3 linked regions of the Arabidopsis thaliana genome follow. The protein of the gene in region 2 interacts with the protein of the main gene of each other region in a pairwise test. Each region holds a gene or a part of one and is shown on either strand. Other genes may lie near its edges.

Region 1 (7,116 bases), on a different chromosome or scaffold from region 2:
GACCTAGCGGCGGCGCAGGTGTTAAGTTAGGTTTAGTGGACGCCACAGGACCACATTCTCGAGCCTTTGGAAGCGCGGATGGTGGCGGCGAGTTAGTTTTGGTGGAGCCCTTTCTATAGCCTATATATGGATTATTCAAAAGATAAACAGAAGCAAGGAAATCTATGTTACACCAAAAGTAAGATAAAAGGAACTCACGTCGTATGATCCAAATAACCAGAAATGTTGCTCCGGCTATGAAACCTGGCATCACTAAAACCGGCATCTTCTCGTCTTTTTTTTTACCATGTTTCATTTCTCTGTTATTCATTTTTGACTTGATCTTTTGGGGATCGCCAGACCAGATCTAGTGATGGATGATTCTATAGAAACTGTATAGTGCAAGTTTAATTTTATCATTTGAATGAAAAGAAGAAGAAAAAAACAATTGTTTATGACATGTGTGTGACAACTGGCAAGTCTTATTTAAAAGTCAATACCAACGGCGGTAATAATTGATACCTGGTTACTTAAATCCTTAGATTTTCTTAATGCCATAATTGACCGAGTCTATCAATGACATTGTTATCATAACTCAAATCAGATTTGATAACTTCTTAATTTCGTAGTTGACATAAATTAACAATCACTATGATAAAATTTGATATTACTAACTTACTCTTTGTCCCAAAAAAAACAAAGTATCTTACTCAAAAACTATGTACAAAACTAGTTTTAAGACCGAGTACAAAACTACTTTTAAGTTGTATTTACTAGAAATACAACTTAGTAATAATCGACAGGAAATTAATCAAATCCATCGGTAGGCGTGACTGCACAGAAGAAGGAAAATGCTGCAGAGGTAAATTCATAAATAATCAAATGACAGGTGACAAGTCTTTATCTCTGTTTTGAAATCAATATATGTATAGCTGCCATAATTTGTGGTCTTTGTTTATACTGCCATAATCAAAAAGTTTCCTAATGCCATAATATCTCGTTCCAATCCATGCTATTATATTTTAAATTTACCTCTGAACCAACAAAAGATGTACTTTGATCATTGAATACTTTTTTTTACTGGACCAACAAAAGATTTACTTTGTTAATTGTTATTCTTGTATGGATGTCAAGTAATTACAACTGAACCAAGCTTCTAAAAGCAGAAACAAGATCAAGTCCTCCTAAACAACTCAAGAAGTGTTTCTCCAGCATCACCGTTATTCTCATCACTCCCACTTCCTCTCCCTCCATTATCTTCTTCACCTTCAATCTCAATCTCAATCTCATCGTTTAAAGGCGGTATCGAACCGATGTTATTGTATGTTTCAGACAGATATTCTTCCACCCTCGACGTGTATCCATCTTGAGGACTGCTGGATGAAGCTGCTGCTCCGAATATAGACTCTGCTTGGTCTATGGAGTTTATGGTAATCTGATTCAGTGAAGTCATCGATGAGCTCCTAGACAATGTCCCCACTGTCATCTCGTCTCTCTCGTCTATTGTTGCTGTGTCAAGGGAACACACTGATCTCGTGTGCTTAGACCTCTCTTTCACTCTCTTGCACCAACTGTGAAGTGAGTCTCTTACGCTCTCTGCTATCACAGCTTTCTTATGCCGAGATCCCATCTGTTCAGATTCAGGTGAAACCATAGAGTTTTTATGAACGATGTTTAGTCACAGACTTGGATAGGCTTAAGATTGTGGAATTGTAGATATATGAAAGGTTTTGACGAACCTGAGTAACGATTACATTGAGAGGCACAGTGCCATAACTACACCAGAACTGAACGAGAACCCTGCATTCACCAGAAAGAAAAAAAAAATCTTAAGAGACAGTGTGTTGCTGCGAATTGTTGTGTATTTGAAACGCACCCAGAAATTAGCCGGCTTGATATCATCACATGGTTCTTCATGAAGCAAGATCTTTCCTTGATTCCCCACTGATACATGAAATTGATGATCTTCTCAAAAACTGAAAAACTTTGCATAGCTGATTTAAGTATTGATGCATTTTATAAGGTGGCCTTACCAAGAACCAGATGAATGTTGCCATTTCAAATGCATTCTGCATTAGCAGGAAATATATAAGGATCATCTGTGTGAATAGAGTAATATCATGGCTTGAAGAATTGAGAAAGGAAAAGTCTTTTTGCTTACCTGAAAAATGATAAATTGTATCAACCGTAGCAGAATTTCTGGTTTCCCAAACCAGAAGAGCCCATCACGTGGTTTGACTTGAGCCCCATTAGATGTGCCTGTCTGCTGCTCCTTAACCTCGAGAGCAAGCTTGGAGACAACATGCTCAAGTTTGGTTCCAACCAACATGACAAGCTTAGACAACAAAACAGATACAAACACATGCTCTGAGTGTTAGTACTGCCTTATGAATTTCAAGCTTTTTACTTAATCTTGCTTTTACTTACAATGGCAGGAACGAATGATATCCAAAAGTACATATTCAGGCCTGCAAGGAAATCACTGAATTAGTAAAGACAAAGCTTTAATGTGGAGATAGAAATGGAATGTAGTTTGTATTTATTGAACCGATAAGTTACCATGAACATTTATGCAGATGCATACTATAGCGTAAACCCAAAGTGGCCAGCTGTTGATTCATCAAGAAACATTCATCAGTCCCATTCTGTAACTCCCTTACGAAATCTTCTGAAAACAGTTGAATAAAGAGTCTTTGATAAGATCTCAATTCTCAGAAACGCATACCTAATTCCAACAATGCCATGAAACTCATCTTCCATCGTCCGTACCATATACATATGGAAGTTGTATGTAAATGGCAAATTATGTTTCTGAAATTTTAAAGTAATGAAGACCGGATTCAGAAAACTAATCATGTCAGCTACCAGATTAGATGAGAATTCTTGAGAAATTACTAGAAAGTTATATTTTAAATTTGAAGGAAAGACTGAGAAACGAAATAAAAAAGTTACTCACAGTGAGGAAACCTAACCGAAGTGCGAAGTAGTCAGACTTTCGTATGGAGCCTCTAAATTGCCGCAGGAAACAAAGCTGCAATGCAAACATATATTTTATTGCTGGACAAATGCCGTAAAAATAGCTTCTGGAGAAAAATATAACAGTGTTCTTAACTAGAGATATGAAATTTTTAAAAAATTACAGCTTAAGGTAAAAGCATGGGGAGTTACCATCCAAATGAGAAAACGATTGTTACTCCAAGGATGAGAGGCATGATGGAAAACAAATGTAGACTGACGCTTCATCACCTTGGTCTTCTTTGCTGTTGAACAAAGTCAAGAAGACTAGGGTATATATGACTGGAAACTAAAGCATCCTAGGCATTAAGTATCTTTAACAATGAATCAGCTGTTTGTGATAAAGCTAAAATTACAGAGATACATCTCTTTTCCACACAGTTCATTTCAATCCTGTATAAGTGATTATACTAGGACAGAAAGGAATTTTTCCTATATCAGTATTTATAAGTGATTATACTGGATTTGATCTGCTAGTCAAGATGAAGCGAAATTTGCAAATCTGCATAAAAGCCTCTCCACAGCTTAAGTGAGTTCATGAATGAACAACCTAAATACTTAACAGAATCCTAGTTTCATGCTGTTCTTAATCCTAAGATAACACAGTTCCTCATGTGCCCTCAAGATGAGACCCATCAAAAACATACAAGCCTTAATTTGAAGGAGAGACAGAAAAGTCTTGTCATTTACCGTGGATATCTGATTCAGCCATTATGATCGCTTGGGCTTCCCATTTTCTCCAACTGTAAATCTGTGTTACGTGATAAAAAGACAACACTGTTTCAGATGGTATTGATATGTTCGTCTGCTTAATCTTACTAACACTCTATGCACATAAATGATAATATCGAAGGTTTTCCCTCAATTTTCAGATTGAAGATAATTTCTATTTGACATATACTTAGGACCACTAATTATTTGATCATGAGGTTCTCTACATCCTCTAGACATGAGGATAAAGTTGATTGCAAGTATAATACATCTCTTCCTTTCGGAGCAACATAGAAATACTTAAGAATACAAATTTAACACTCATATGTAGATTTAGGAGCTAGGATGTGTACCTTGCTCATGGCTAAACCAATGGCAATGCCACTGTATAGAACATGAGTGATACCCAGGACGAATAAGAATCTTAGGAGTTGCTCGAGTCCCTCATACGACACAAATGGTTCACGGCCCTGGCATTGGATCCAACATCCAGTTCAGTAATATAATTAAAAGTCAAAAGGAAAATAGGCTCTTAAGTCGATAGAAAAAGTAAATATTTACATGACCACATTGATGAGAGGCTTCATGTATTCCATGATGAGGTAAGGAGCTCTGGTTTGTAGAAGAGGTGTGTTCCAGAAGAACTTTCTTATGGATTCCATAGTCCTCTTCAGAGCAAATGTAGAATTTACTATTGAAAAGGGAAGAGTTAACACAGATTTCTGAAATCCATCTCGCGCTTTGTGACAACAGAAGTGATATAAGTCCCAGCAACATCAACTCTACCAAGAAAGTTTAACAAGTCAAAATCAAACGAAAAAGAAAGAAAGTATAAAGCACCACAACATCAGCACAGGTTTATTTGACATACCCTCTTTCATTTTCTCAAGTGAAGTAAAAAGTGCCTTTCTTCTAGTCTTCTTTAACCACTGAAAACAAAACAGAACATGAAATTAGCTCCTCATATATATCTAACATGAAAGACACATCCTGTAATAATGACTTCTCTTAGAGTGAAAACATCAACACTACTTCTACTGACATTTAGCAAGCATAAACACATATCTCCAAGAAGAAACATCTCGTCCATAAAAATTCTCACTTTCTAGCACCCATTATTAGATAAAACATTTCCAGCTCATGAATCATGGAGAGCAAGAGTTAACCCAAGTGGCAAGTGTGCAGAAAAAAAAAAAAAATCATAATACGTTCTTCACACTCATTCTTTTGAGCTGAGCATTTCAACAAACATATAGTAGGCACACACACGAAGAAAAAATACAAAACAAAAACACACCTTTCCAAATCTGTAAATGGCGCGTTCAACGAGAAAGCAAACAAAGACCAAAACAGTAACAACCGAAGCAACAGAGTAAGTCGGCGTCTCTGCAAGAGACCTTCCTTCTTTCATCATATGCTCCATCTCCGGCGAGGAACTTTTCTCCCGAGAAAAATGGAGAATCAATCTGCATCTGTGATTAAGAAAGTTTAGCTTTTTCCTCCATTTAATTTTCTACAATAAAATATACTAGTCAAAGAGAAGAAAAAAGCTCATGGAATGCTGTACCAAGTAGAAACCAAAGCACATGGTTGCTTCCTCGTCTTCTCCAACGGTCTTCTCTCTTCTCTTTCTTTATTCAATTGCTTCTTTCATTTATTGCAGCATTCATGTGCTTCCCCCTAAATGTCGTTAAAGAACCTAAATTTAATAATGCAATTTAATAGCCGGACTTTACCGACCGGTACAACCATTAGTCGATAATAACAAAGCCGGGTTGATGATATCTCAATCGGTTTACGTATCATTGAAATTAGGAGAGAGATTCAATCACTGTCCGAATTAAATGAACAATAATCAGATACAAAAACCAAAATTACGCCATTTCATACAATTTTTGTAAACCGAATTTATAGCAGCAATCTACTAATCATAATCTAGCAGCAACAACTCAACCGATTTTACTGATAAATGGCGGTTAATATTAGAAGTTTACGAGTACATCAAAGCTTTGACTAATGATACTAGGATTTGGCAATTTGTGGTGGACCGGTCACTGTTTTGCCAGGAGAATAAATGAATATGATATAATAAATTAACACGTGTACAAATTCCCAACATTGGGGTGGTGGCGCAGTTGGCTAGCGCGTAGGTCTCATAGCTATTGAGTGATCCTGAGGTCGAGAGTTCGAGCCTCTCTCACCCCATTTCCCTTTTTCTCTGTAATTTTCAATTCCCAAAATAAAGAAGCTTTCGTTTCTCTCTCGCATTGACCCTTCTTCTCCAGTTTTATGTTTTGCCTCTCTCCCACTTCTGTAAATAATCTTCTCACATCCCCGCACGATTATTCTCTAGCCGATCAACGAACACAGAGACGCTAATGTATTTGACTCGATTCGAATCATTAGTCCTCTAATCACACCGATTGATTTCCACCCACAGATTTCTTGTCTGAAATTTAGGGTTAGCGAAGGTTTGGATCAATGATGCAAGGTGAAGTACAATTGCAGCCACCGGATTCACAGAAACTAAGTGATTCCGCTCCTTTGTTAGGAGATCACACCAATTCTTCTTCGGCGTCTCCTTCTGCTGCGTCTGTGGTGGCAGGAAATAGCGATGAGATAAAGGCTGAAGAAGATTTAGAGAACGATGCTTCTTCAGCTCCTTGTTGTCGTATTTGTTTGGAGGACGATAGTGAATTGTTAGGCGATGAATTGATTTCACCTTGTATGTGTAAAGGCACTCAACAATTCGTGCATCGCTCATGTCTCGATCATTGGCGATCGGTTAAAGAAGGTTTTGCTTTCTCTCACTGTACTACTTGCAAAGCACAGTTTCATCTGAGAGTCGAACCCTTTGAGGATAACAATTCGTGGCGTAGAAAAGCTAAATTCAGACTCTTTGTCGCAAGAGATGTGCTTTTGGTTTTCTTAGCTGTGCAGACTGTGAGTATCTCTCTCTCTCAGCTTCTCTTCATAGTTTTCGTGAGGATTATAAAGCATTTATTAAGAGATTCTGAGGATAAATTTTATATGATGTCATAATCTGGCTCACAAAGTGAACTAGATTCGAATCTTGACCTGGTTACTGCGTACACATGGTGGGTGCTTGAAATTGACAATGGAAGTTGATGACTATCAAATTGTTCATTTTGCTCACTGTGACTTGCCATTTTTGAAGCTTGTTTTTCATAGAGATTGTCTGAATCTTTTTGACGTCTGATAATAAGAAGATTGTTGAAACTCTAGGTTATCGCTGTGATGGCCGGATTCGCATATATGATGGACAAAGACGGAGAGTTTCGCAACTCTTTCAACGATGATTGGGATCGTATTTTGTCGAAACATCCCATCCCGTTTTATTACTGCATTGGTATTTACTGAATCTTTCATCTCCCTTTTATTGCGTAACTA
Region 2 (3,487 bases):
CTAGGGGTTTCGGCTGATTTTTATTATTAATAAAATACATATTTAAGTTTTTTTTATACTGAGAAGCTATTCTGAAAAAAATCATATTTCTTTTTTGTTTTGATGAAATGTGAAATTTATTGATGAAAGAATAATGAGATTATGTACAGCTGTAAGATGTATAGTTCATATGTTCTGCACAGGAGCAGAAAACCTATTGAAAAAAACAGAGTATAAGCTTTTAACTAGAAAGTCGTGTTAGCCGTAACAGAATAATTCAAGAAAGAAATACTGAGATAACCGAAACCAAAATACTAAACCGAACAAATAAAAAAACGAACTGAATCCCAACCAAAATTATAAAATATCTTAACCAATTTTTTCAAACCCAACCCGAATGGTGAACCAGATAACTTTTTAGGTTACTGTGTCATTGGGTTCAACCGGATTCGACCATAGATCAATTGATTAAAATTTATTTAATATTTTTAATACTTTTAGAAATTATATAGTATTATAAATATAAAAATAAAAAATAATCATACCATGTTTAACAAAATATGAAGTTTCACAATAAAAATAAAGTGATTAAAATTTTTAAATCCAACAAAAACCATAAAAAAAATACTTAGATAGTATGAGATTATCAACAAAAAAACTAATAAAACATTGCGAAAACAATATAACTAATCACCGTTGTTTCTCTCACCATTCCTAATATTTAATTCCAAAATATCAAAATCAAATGGATTTTGTTAAAACTCAAACCCGACTGATTCAGTGGATAGCATGTTAATGGTGAATTTTTTGTGTTTTTTTTTCTAGTTTTTAAACTGTTGGATGTTAACCCAAACTGGAAGTGTGTACAGGTCACAGGGTCAAACTAGACGGTTCGGGTCTAGCGTGAAAAAAATGGATTATAGAATCTTTAAACGAAACGAACGAAAAGGTAACCGAATGTGTACCCGAAATATCCAAAAACAAAAGGAGTATCCGAAACAATTCAAGAAGGTGTTTAAGACCTTAGTTCTGTTTAATTATGTCCTAATTATGTTATTTGGTTTGGAGAGCATTCTAGTACACGCTATCCTCTGTTTACGTACTTAGCTTTTACATGTTAATCTATACACCAATCAAGGCAGTCTCAGGATAAACAATCATTATCCTAAATAATTACGTATAGACTTTGCTTTGTTTTTTAGTTCGGTTAATATTTGTTTTTAAAATCGTTATAGTTAATTATGTAATATGTTTTAGGTGTTTTAAAGCAAAACAATTTCTTTTAAAACCCATAATTGGCTTTCATTATATTTTTCAGTCACAGTCTACTTTATTAAAGTAAAGTTTCTTCTAGTTAAGTTTATCTCTAATTAAAAGGTTAAGGGTAAAGGTTCTTTTAAACCAATGCTAAATCGTTTGGTGATTCTTAATATTATTATTTCTATTTAATAAATATTTTGTGCAGTTGAGTGAAACAAATTTTGTCATAAGGCATCGGTACCTGCTTTTTTCAAGAAAATGGGATGCTTTGACTAGTATGATATATAATTGTGTTTTATATATCAATCATGTTATATTTACTCTTGGTTAAGATTATTTTTTATTGTTAATGATATCATTGATACAATGATACTTAAGAAAAACTAAAAATGTTCCAAATGTATTCTATAACCAATTATCATTTGAGCTACATTGTTCTCTATCTAATCAAATCAAAATCATAATATTAAGCTATTATGGTATATAGGAAATATTTGAACTCAATCCTTTTTTTTTGTGCGGTTCAAGCTTCTAAAGAGGTCTCAAAATTTGTGTGCAGTCTTTCTTCACACTTTCACTCACCTTTTGTTCCTACACATAATTCTCTTTGCTTTTAATTATATAATACTAACTTGATACAACTAGCCATATCACAATTTCCTAACTCCCAAGAACAAAAGAAAACTCCTTTCTTCCATTCTTGGACTTTTCTCTCACTTTTGGTCTCTTGGATATGAATCTCCTACTATTTTTTCTTCTCTCCACCGTTTCAGTTTTCGCCGTTGTCTCTGGCACGGTGGAGGAGACGGCCCGTGATGTTATTGATGCATTGGCTCATGCCCCTTTTGAAGAATGGTCATCGGTTTTCATAGAAACCAATGACCGGATCCGCGCCGAGGTTATCCCATCTACCCTCTTCATCCCAAACTCTTCCGCCAACGGGAGCGATGATAGACATAAGTTGGCTTCATACCACATTGTTCCTCAGAGGCTTGAGTTTGCAGATCTTCTCTTGAAGCCAAGTAGATCGAGACTACCGACTCTTCTCAACGGCTCCTCCATTCTGGTAACCAACAATTCTGCTACTTCTTTTTCTATCGACGGCGTTCTCATCATCGAACTTGACATCTACGTGGATTCCTTCATAGCCATCCATCGTATTGCATATCCGCTTGATTACACAACTTACGGCGGCGGCTCTAAGCTTATATCGAAATGGCCGCTCTTCACCTTTATGCTTGTTACGGTTGTGTGGTTCATTTAATCATAGTGATATGAATAGATTGTGCTCATTTCACCTTATGATATATATATGAAAAGACTGAAGTCCCTAATCTATAATATGAAAGTCTTTTAAATGAACACTTAAACCTTTTTTTCTTGTACTCATGACTTGGTCATTTTTAGTAACGTACAACTTTTTATTTTTGTTTTTTAAACACGTAGACTGCATACATTGAGAGGTTTAACGATGAACATATATGCTCTCTTGTTTTTTACTCATTAAAATGCCGACTTCTCTATACACACAACACACGGAGATAGATACTTCTCATCATTTGAGTCATTATCAATATAAATAACTGAGACATCTTTCCAAAATTTACCACGACAATGAGAGGTTATCAACATATATATATATATATATATATATGAAAAGTAATATTCAAAAAAAGTAATAGATGAATCATGAATGGTCAACTAGATTTTGAGTCATTATTAATAGACGAAGAGATCTCTACAAAAAAAAACATTTACCATTCTATAATCACTAAACAAAATACCAGCTGAAATACAACAAATCTTATCGAAGACCACTACTAATCAATCTTACATATTCTATATTGTTAAATACTTTAACTATCTATTTCATTTTGCATCAATAAACAAAATTTTATGCTACACACTCACTTATGTTTAGGGCTGGGCATATGGGTCACCCATTCGGGATCGGGTTTAGTGGATATTGAATTTACTACCTAATAAGGTAATTCTAAGTATTCGGTTTCGGTTCGGGTCGAGTCTAATAGGGTTCATGTCGGTTTGGGTAAAGAGTTCGGAGATTTGCAAAACTACCATTTTTTACTACCCTTTTACAACAATATCCTTTTTTGTTGTCCATTTTTAAAAATACTCCTTCCTTGAACAGAATAACCAAATTACCCTCATCTAATAGAAACATGTAATTGGAAACTAAAATTTTCCCGCCATATTTTATTTTTTCCGCCAAAAAAAAAATTTCCACCAA
Region 3 (4,732 bases), 280 kb from region 2:
TCAAAGTGCTGGCCATTAAGTTCCTTAAAACTTGTAAAAGAGATTGAAAAAAAAAAAAAAATACAAATAAATATACTAATTGATTGGCTTCTTCACCTTTTGATATTTAAAAATGCCAATTTTTTAATTTGGAGGTAAAGACAAAATATCTTCTTTCCAACTTGTAGGAGCTGCCTCATCACTCATGTCATGCTTCCATCTTTTTGAAAAGCACCCAAATACCCTGACTTTTTTTACATATGTACGAAGTTGCCATTTAGTGGTATCGACAACATTATCACGAGTTCCAACTTTCAAGTAATTCGCGATCTACTTTGTGAATCCATTTGTTAATATAATAACTGTGATACTCCGAATCTTTAGTTGCGGCAACAAGGTACGTACGAATCTCCAAAATCGTTGAGTTTAAATAACACTAATATAATAAACACATTATTTCATGTGGTGGACAAATGAAATTAGAGATTCGTGAATAGGTTGGTTGAAAGTTTGTAAAAACACACTTTTTCAAAATAAAATAAAACAGAGTTTGTAAAAACACACTTTATCAAATTAAAACAAAAAAGAGTTTGTAAAAGCACCTACTTCTGCTGAAACTTCAAACTTGCAAGCATCTAAAAGTCTAATTAGTGATGTAAGACATAGAAATTATTTCCATAAATTATTATTTATTTGCATCAGACATGAAAGATTGTCATTTCTGATTATTATGCTTGAGTAAATGGTTCAACTTCGTTTTACCAAATTGTTAATGCTTCTAGAAAGCAATACTTCGAGTTATTTATATCTATTGCGTCAATGCAAGGTTTGTTTTAGACTTTTTAGCTATTTAAAGCAATAAGTATGAACTAATATCAAAAAAGTATGAGCTATATCAAAAGTCCAAACTTAAAAACGGTCAGGCTTTTACTTAGTCCATGCTTCACATTCCTAATTGCTTATCTAGAATGCAGCAAATAATGATCATAAAATTTGAAAAAAGCGTTATAGAAAAAACTCCAAAGAGAACACAAATGACCACATAGATATTATCATCACAACCCCATGAAACTGTACATCTAAAACATTACTGAAATGCAAAAAAATATCCAAAACAATATTTAAGTATCACAAAACATCATTTAAAATAATACTCTAGAAAATAGAGAATAAAAGTAAAAATCCAAATCAAACCGGAGTAGGTGTAGTATTAGCACCAGAAGGAGAAGGAGATCGTGGCTCAACTCTCCTAAGCTGAATGGCTTTGTGAGACTCATCATCATCAAAGTACATATAAGCAAAACCACCGTGCCTGGTCATATCCATACCGGCCATCTCATCCTCGGACGATATCCGCAACAATTTCATTTTCTTGAGGATGAAGAAAAGTGTCCCCATGGTCGCACTTACCCAACCCGTGATCACAATGATCTGAATCAGCTGAGCTCCAAGTAGTTTTCCTCCACCGCCCATAAACAAACCGTGTGGCCTTCCGGGTTTGTTGCCGTAAATCTGGTTCAAGTACTTTTCTTGAGCGAAGAGAGCCGTGAATATTAGTCCCCACGCACCGCAACCACCGTGTAGTTGTGCTGCCTCAAGAGGGTCGTCGTATTTGAGCTTCTCAGCGAGCTTGTTGCATCCGAGGAGGACTAGGGCCGCCACGAACCCGCAGATGATCGCAGCCCATGGCTCAACGACAGAGCAGCCACCAGTTATGGCTGCAAACCCTCCGAGGAGGCCGTTGCATACATCAGTGACGTTCCAATGTCCCGAGAGTAGACGTTTCCCAAATAGGGTTGTCAGCGCCGCGGTGCAGCCAGCTAACGTTGTTGTGACAGCTGTCCGTCCGACCGCGCTCCACTGGCCGTTGTATGTGCCTGTCTCGTACGTGACTAGGATCTTGTTGAAGGAACCGGGGTTAAATCCGTACCATCCAAACCAGAGGAGGAATGTTCCAAGGACAACAAGTGACGCCGAGTGGCCACGAAGAGCGATGGCACGGCCTCCGTTATCGAACCGGCCAAGTCGTGGACCTTCGATGAGCGCACCCCAGAGTCCAGCGATACCTCCGACCATATGAACAACACCGGACCCAGCGAAATCTATCGCTCCGGTGCTGAAAAGCAAATCTCCATCGGTACGGAACGGGCTGGCCCATCCATCAACTGACCAGAACCAGTGAGAGACGACCGGGTAAACAAACCCGGTTAAGAAAGAGGAATAGATTAGGTAAGCCACGAACTGTGTCCGTTCAGCGATCGAGCCACTTGTGATTCCAGCCGCAGCGATTGCAAAGGCCCATTGGTAGAGAAAGTTGGAGTAGTCAGCAGAGGCCGTGGGGATGTCTTTGAGACCAAAGTAGTGTTTACCGATGAAACCATTGGACGGAGATCCAAAGGCAAAGGCGTAGCCAAACAGATAATAGAAGAGACCACCGGCTGCAGCGTCAAGGACGTTGGTAAGCATGATGTTCATAGTATTCTTGGCTCTCACGGAACCGGCACAGAGCATAGCGAAGCCAAGCTGCATAGAGAAGACAAGGTAGGCGGAGAAGAGAAGGTAAGTGTTGTCTATAGCGAAAGCGGTGTCGATAAATTTGTTGTTGACGTCGCCTAACTGGCCACAGATGTAGTTGGCCGCCGCCGTGGCATTAGGACCCAACAGGACAGCGAGATCGGTGGCCGAGCAAGACATGTTGAGAGTTTAGAGAAGAAGATGAAACAGAGAGGCTGAGAAAGAAAGTGTTTTGTTTCTCTGTTTATATAAAAGAAGGAAGCTAAAGGCCTAGGGTTGACTTTTCAATCCTGACGAAAAATATTCGTAACGCATAATACAAAGTCTTTAAGTTTTGTTTATTAGTACATACATGTGAATAAAAAATAAATAAGGAATGTAAATGTATCAGGCTTCAGCTAATATATCGGTGAAGATAAGATCTGTGTGTTCAGAAAAAAATATTCTATCACATCCAAATGTATAAGTGAATAACAGAAAAATAAAATGTAAAAATATTCTATCACATCCATATAGTTGTTGGAAATGGCAGCGAAATTTCGAATTTCTTCTTCTTCGTTTAGCCACAGGGCTAGTGATTCCTCAACTTCATCATCTTCTTCATATTCATCATTGCTTGCTTTACCTCAATTCTTTTGTCCACCATCACCATTAGGATTCCCAGAATTCAAGCTTCATGCCAAATTAGGTACTCTTATATCTTTTATTTGTTTGTAGATGTAAATTTTGTTAATCTTTGGTTATTGCATAAGGTGGAGGAGATGGAGAAGTGAAGCCTAAAGATAAGAAAAAGTTTATAACCAAAGAGGAAGAACCTGAACAGTAAGTTAATCTTAATTCTCAATTTTCATCATGAGATTGTAGAAAATAACAGAAACTCATAGAATGGTAATGTAATTTTGCAAAATCACAGAAAAACAAACCTAGGAAATTGATGAAAACATGGAAAATTACAAAACGATATGTAGGTTACCAATTTAATACAAAAATTTTAGTCTCCATTGCAGAATTTAAGTAGTTTTTTTTTTTGTATGTGTCAATGACATGTAGACTGGTGGTTTGTGACATTGTGTTAGTATTGTATCAATATCCAGACTCAAATCCGTGTTAGCAAAAGAATAAAAATATTTGGGTTGTAGTTTAGTCAAAAGAACTAAACTCTTTTAAAATAGAAAAAGAACTTAAATTCTTGCATGTTCATTTTTCATAAACATGCAATTGTGATTGAAGAAATGGTTATGGATGAGGATTGCATTGGAATTTTGTAGGTATTGGCAAAGCGTTGGAGAAAGAGAAGGAGAGAATCCGATGAAGACGCCTCTTCCTTACATTATCATATTCGGTATGTCAACTCCATTCGTCATCTTAGCCATTGCTTTTGCCAATGGTTGGATCAAAGTTCCCATTCGTTGAGCCTTTCTTTTTGTTTTTTCTTCACTTGTTTAAGGCTGAATCTTAAACATGTTTCTTATACTCTTCTTCTTCGGCTGTAAAAAAGAACAAATTAATAGAATGCTATCACTATATTATATGGTGCTTTGCTATACTACATGTCTTCATTACAAGCAAATGTATAAACAAATATTAGTCATCTCTTCATCATTAGTGATATGTTTGGTCTTGTCAAGAAGAATGAGAATTAGAGACAACACAAAGTAGTGACATAGAGCCTAGTTGGCACATTAAGCAGAGACTTGAAATCATCTAGAAGACTTTTCAAATTACAGCCTGACGAAAAATATTCGTAACGCAAATTGCAAAGTCTTTAAGTTTTTGTTTGTAAGTACATGTGAATAGAAAATAAATAAGAATAATAATAATAAAAAGGAATGTAAAAAATGTATCAGCTAATATATCGGTGAAGATAAGATATGTGTGTTCTTAAAAAAGTATTCTATCACATCCAAATATATAAGTGAATAACAGAAAAATATATATAGTATTGAGACTGAAATTCCTTGTTTTTATTGTTTTCTTGGTTAGGCGAAATTTCTTACTATCTCTTTTGAACATTAAAAAGTGTCAATTTGACAAGATATTCTTTTGTTTTCAAAAGTAAGTCTTAGATTTGAGTATTAATATATTATAAATTACGTACTTACAAAACTATGTTTGCATTTAGCATATTTCGAATTCATTTATAAGATATTAATTGATAATTTCTGTGATATCTCAACCAGGTTGTTGTTGGTATATCTTAATTGACTAATTGAGAGTGAGCATAATATCCACATACCAC

The links. Proteins that work in one complex are often made in the same cells at the same time.
Region 1: the proteins of AT4G12950 (region 2) and MLO4 interact in a protein complementation assay, tested with the Arabidopsis thaliana proteins (one large-scale study listed by BioGRID).
Region 3: the proteins of AT4G12950 (region 2) and AMT1;1 interact in a protein complementation assay, tested with the Arabidopsis thaliana proteins (one large-scale study listed by BioGRID).

The regions. Positions count from the first base shown.
Region 1 is NC_003070.9:3,670,782-3,677,897, forward strand, and holds MLO4 (Seven transmembrane MLO family protein), read right to left. Parts: upstream 5,353-7,116; 5' UTR 5,273-5,352; exon of another isoform or gene 5,178-5,272; 5' UTR 5,129-5,177; coding exon 5,003-5,128; intron 4,635-5,002; coding exon 4,577-4,634; intron 4,488-4,576; coding exon 4,267-4,487; intron 4,176-4,266; coding exon 4,059-4,175; intron 3,746-4,058; coding exon 3,685-3,745; intron 3,240-3,684; coding exon 3,148-3,239; intron 3,011-3,147; coding exon 2,936-3,010; intron 2,791-2,935; coding exon 2,705-2,790; intron 2,589-2,704; coding exon 2,539-2,588; intron 2,448-2,538; coding exon 2,407-2,447; intron 2,315-2,406; coding exon 2,141-2,314; intron 2,049-2,140; coding exon 2,013-2,048; intron 1,924-2,012; coding exon 1,856-1,923; coding exon of another isoform or gene 1,786-1,855; exon of another isoform or gene 1,780-1,785; coding exon 1,719-1,779; intron 1,610-1,718; coding exon 1,154-1,609; 3' UTR 975-1,153; downstream 1-974. Other genes in the region: AT1G10990 (uncharacterized protein), read right to left, coding at 1-310; AT1G11020 (RING/FYVE/PHD zinc finger superfamily protein), read left to right, coding at 6,187-6,648, 6,952-7,075.
Region 2 is NC_003075.7:7,574,670-7,578,156, forward strand, and holds AT4G12950 (Fasciclin-like arabinogalactan family protein), read left to right. Parts: upstream 1-1,972; coding exon 1,973-2,503; downstream 2,504-3,487.
Region 3 is NC_003075.7:7,856,161-7,860,892, reverse strand, and holds AMT1;1 (ammonium transporter 1;1), read right to left. Parts: upstream 2,711-4,732; 5' UTR 2,674-2,710; coding exon 1,168-2,673; 3' UTR 975-1,167; downstream 1-974. Other genes in the region: AT4G13500 (uncharacterized protein), read left to right, coding at 3,019-3,181, 3,246-3,315, 3,762-3,906. UniProt on the Arabidopsis thaliana protein: High affinity ammonium transporter probably involved in ammonium uptake from the soil, long-distance transport to the shoots and re-uptake of apoplastic ammonium that derives from photorespiration in shoots.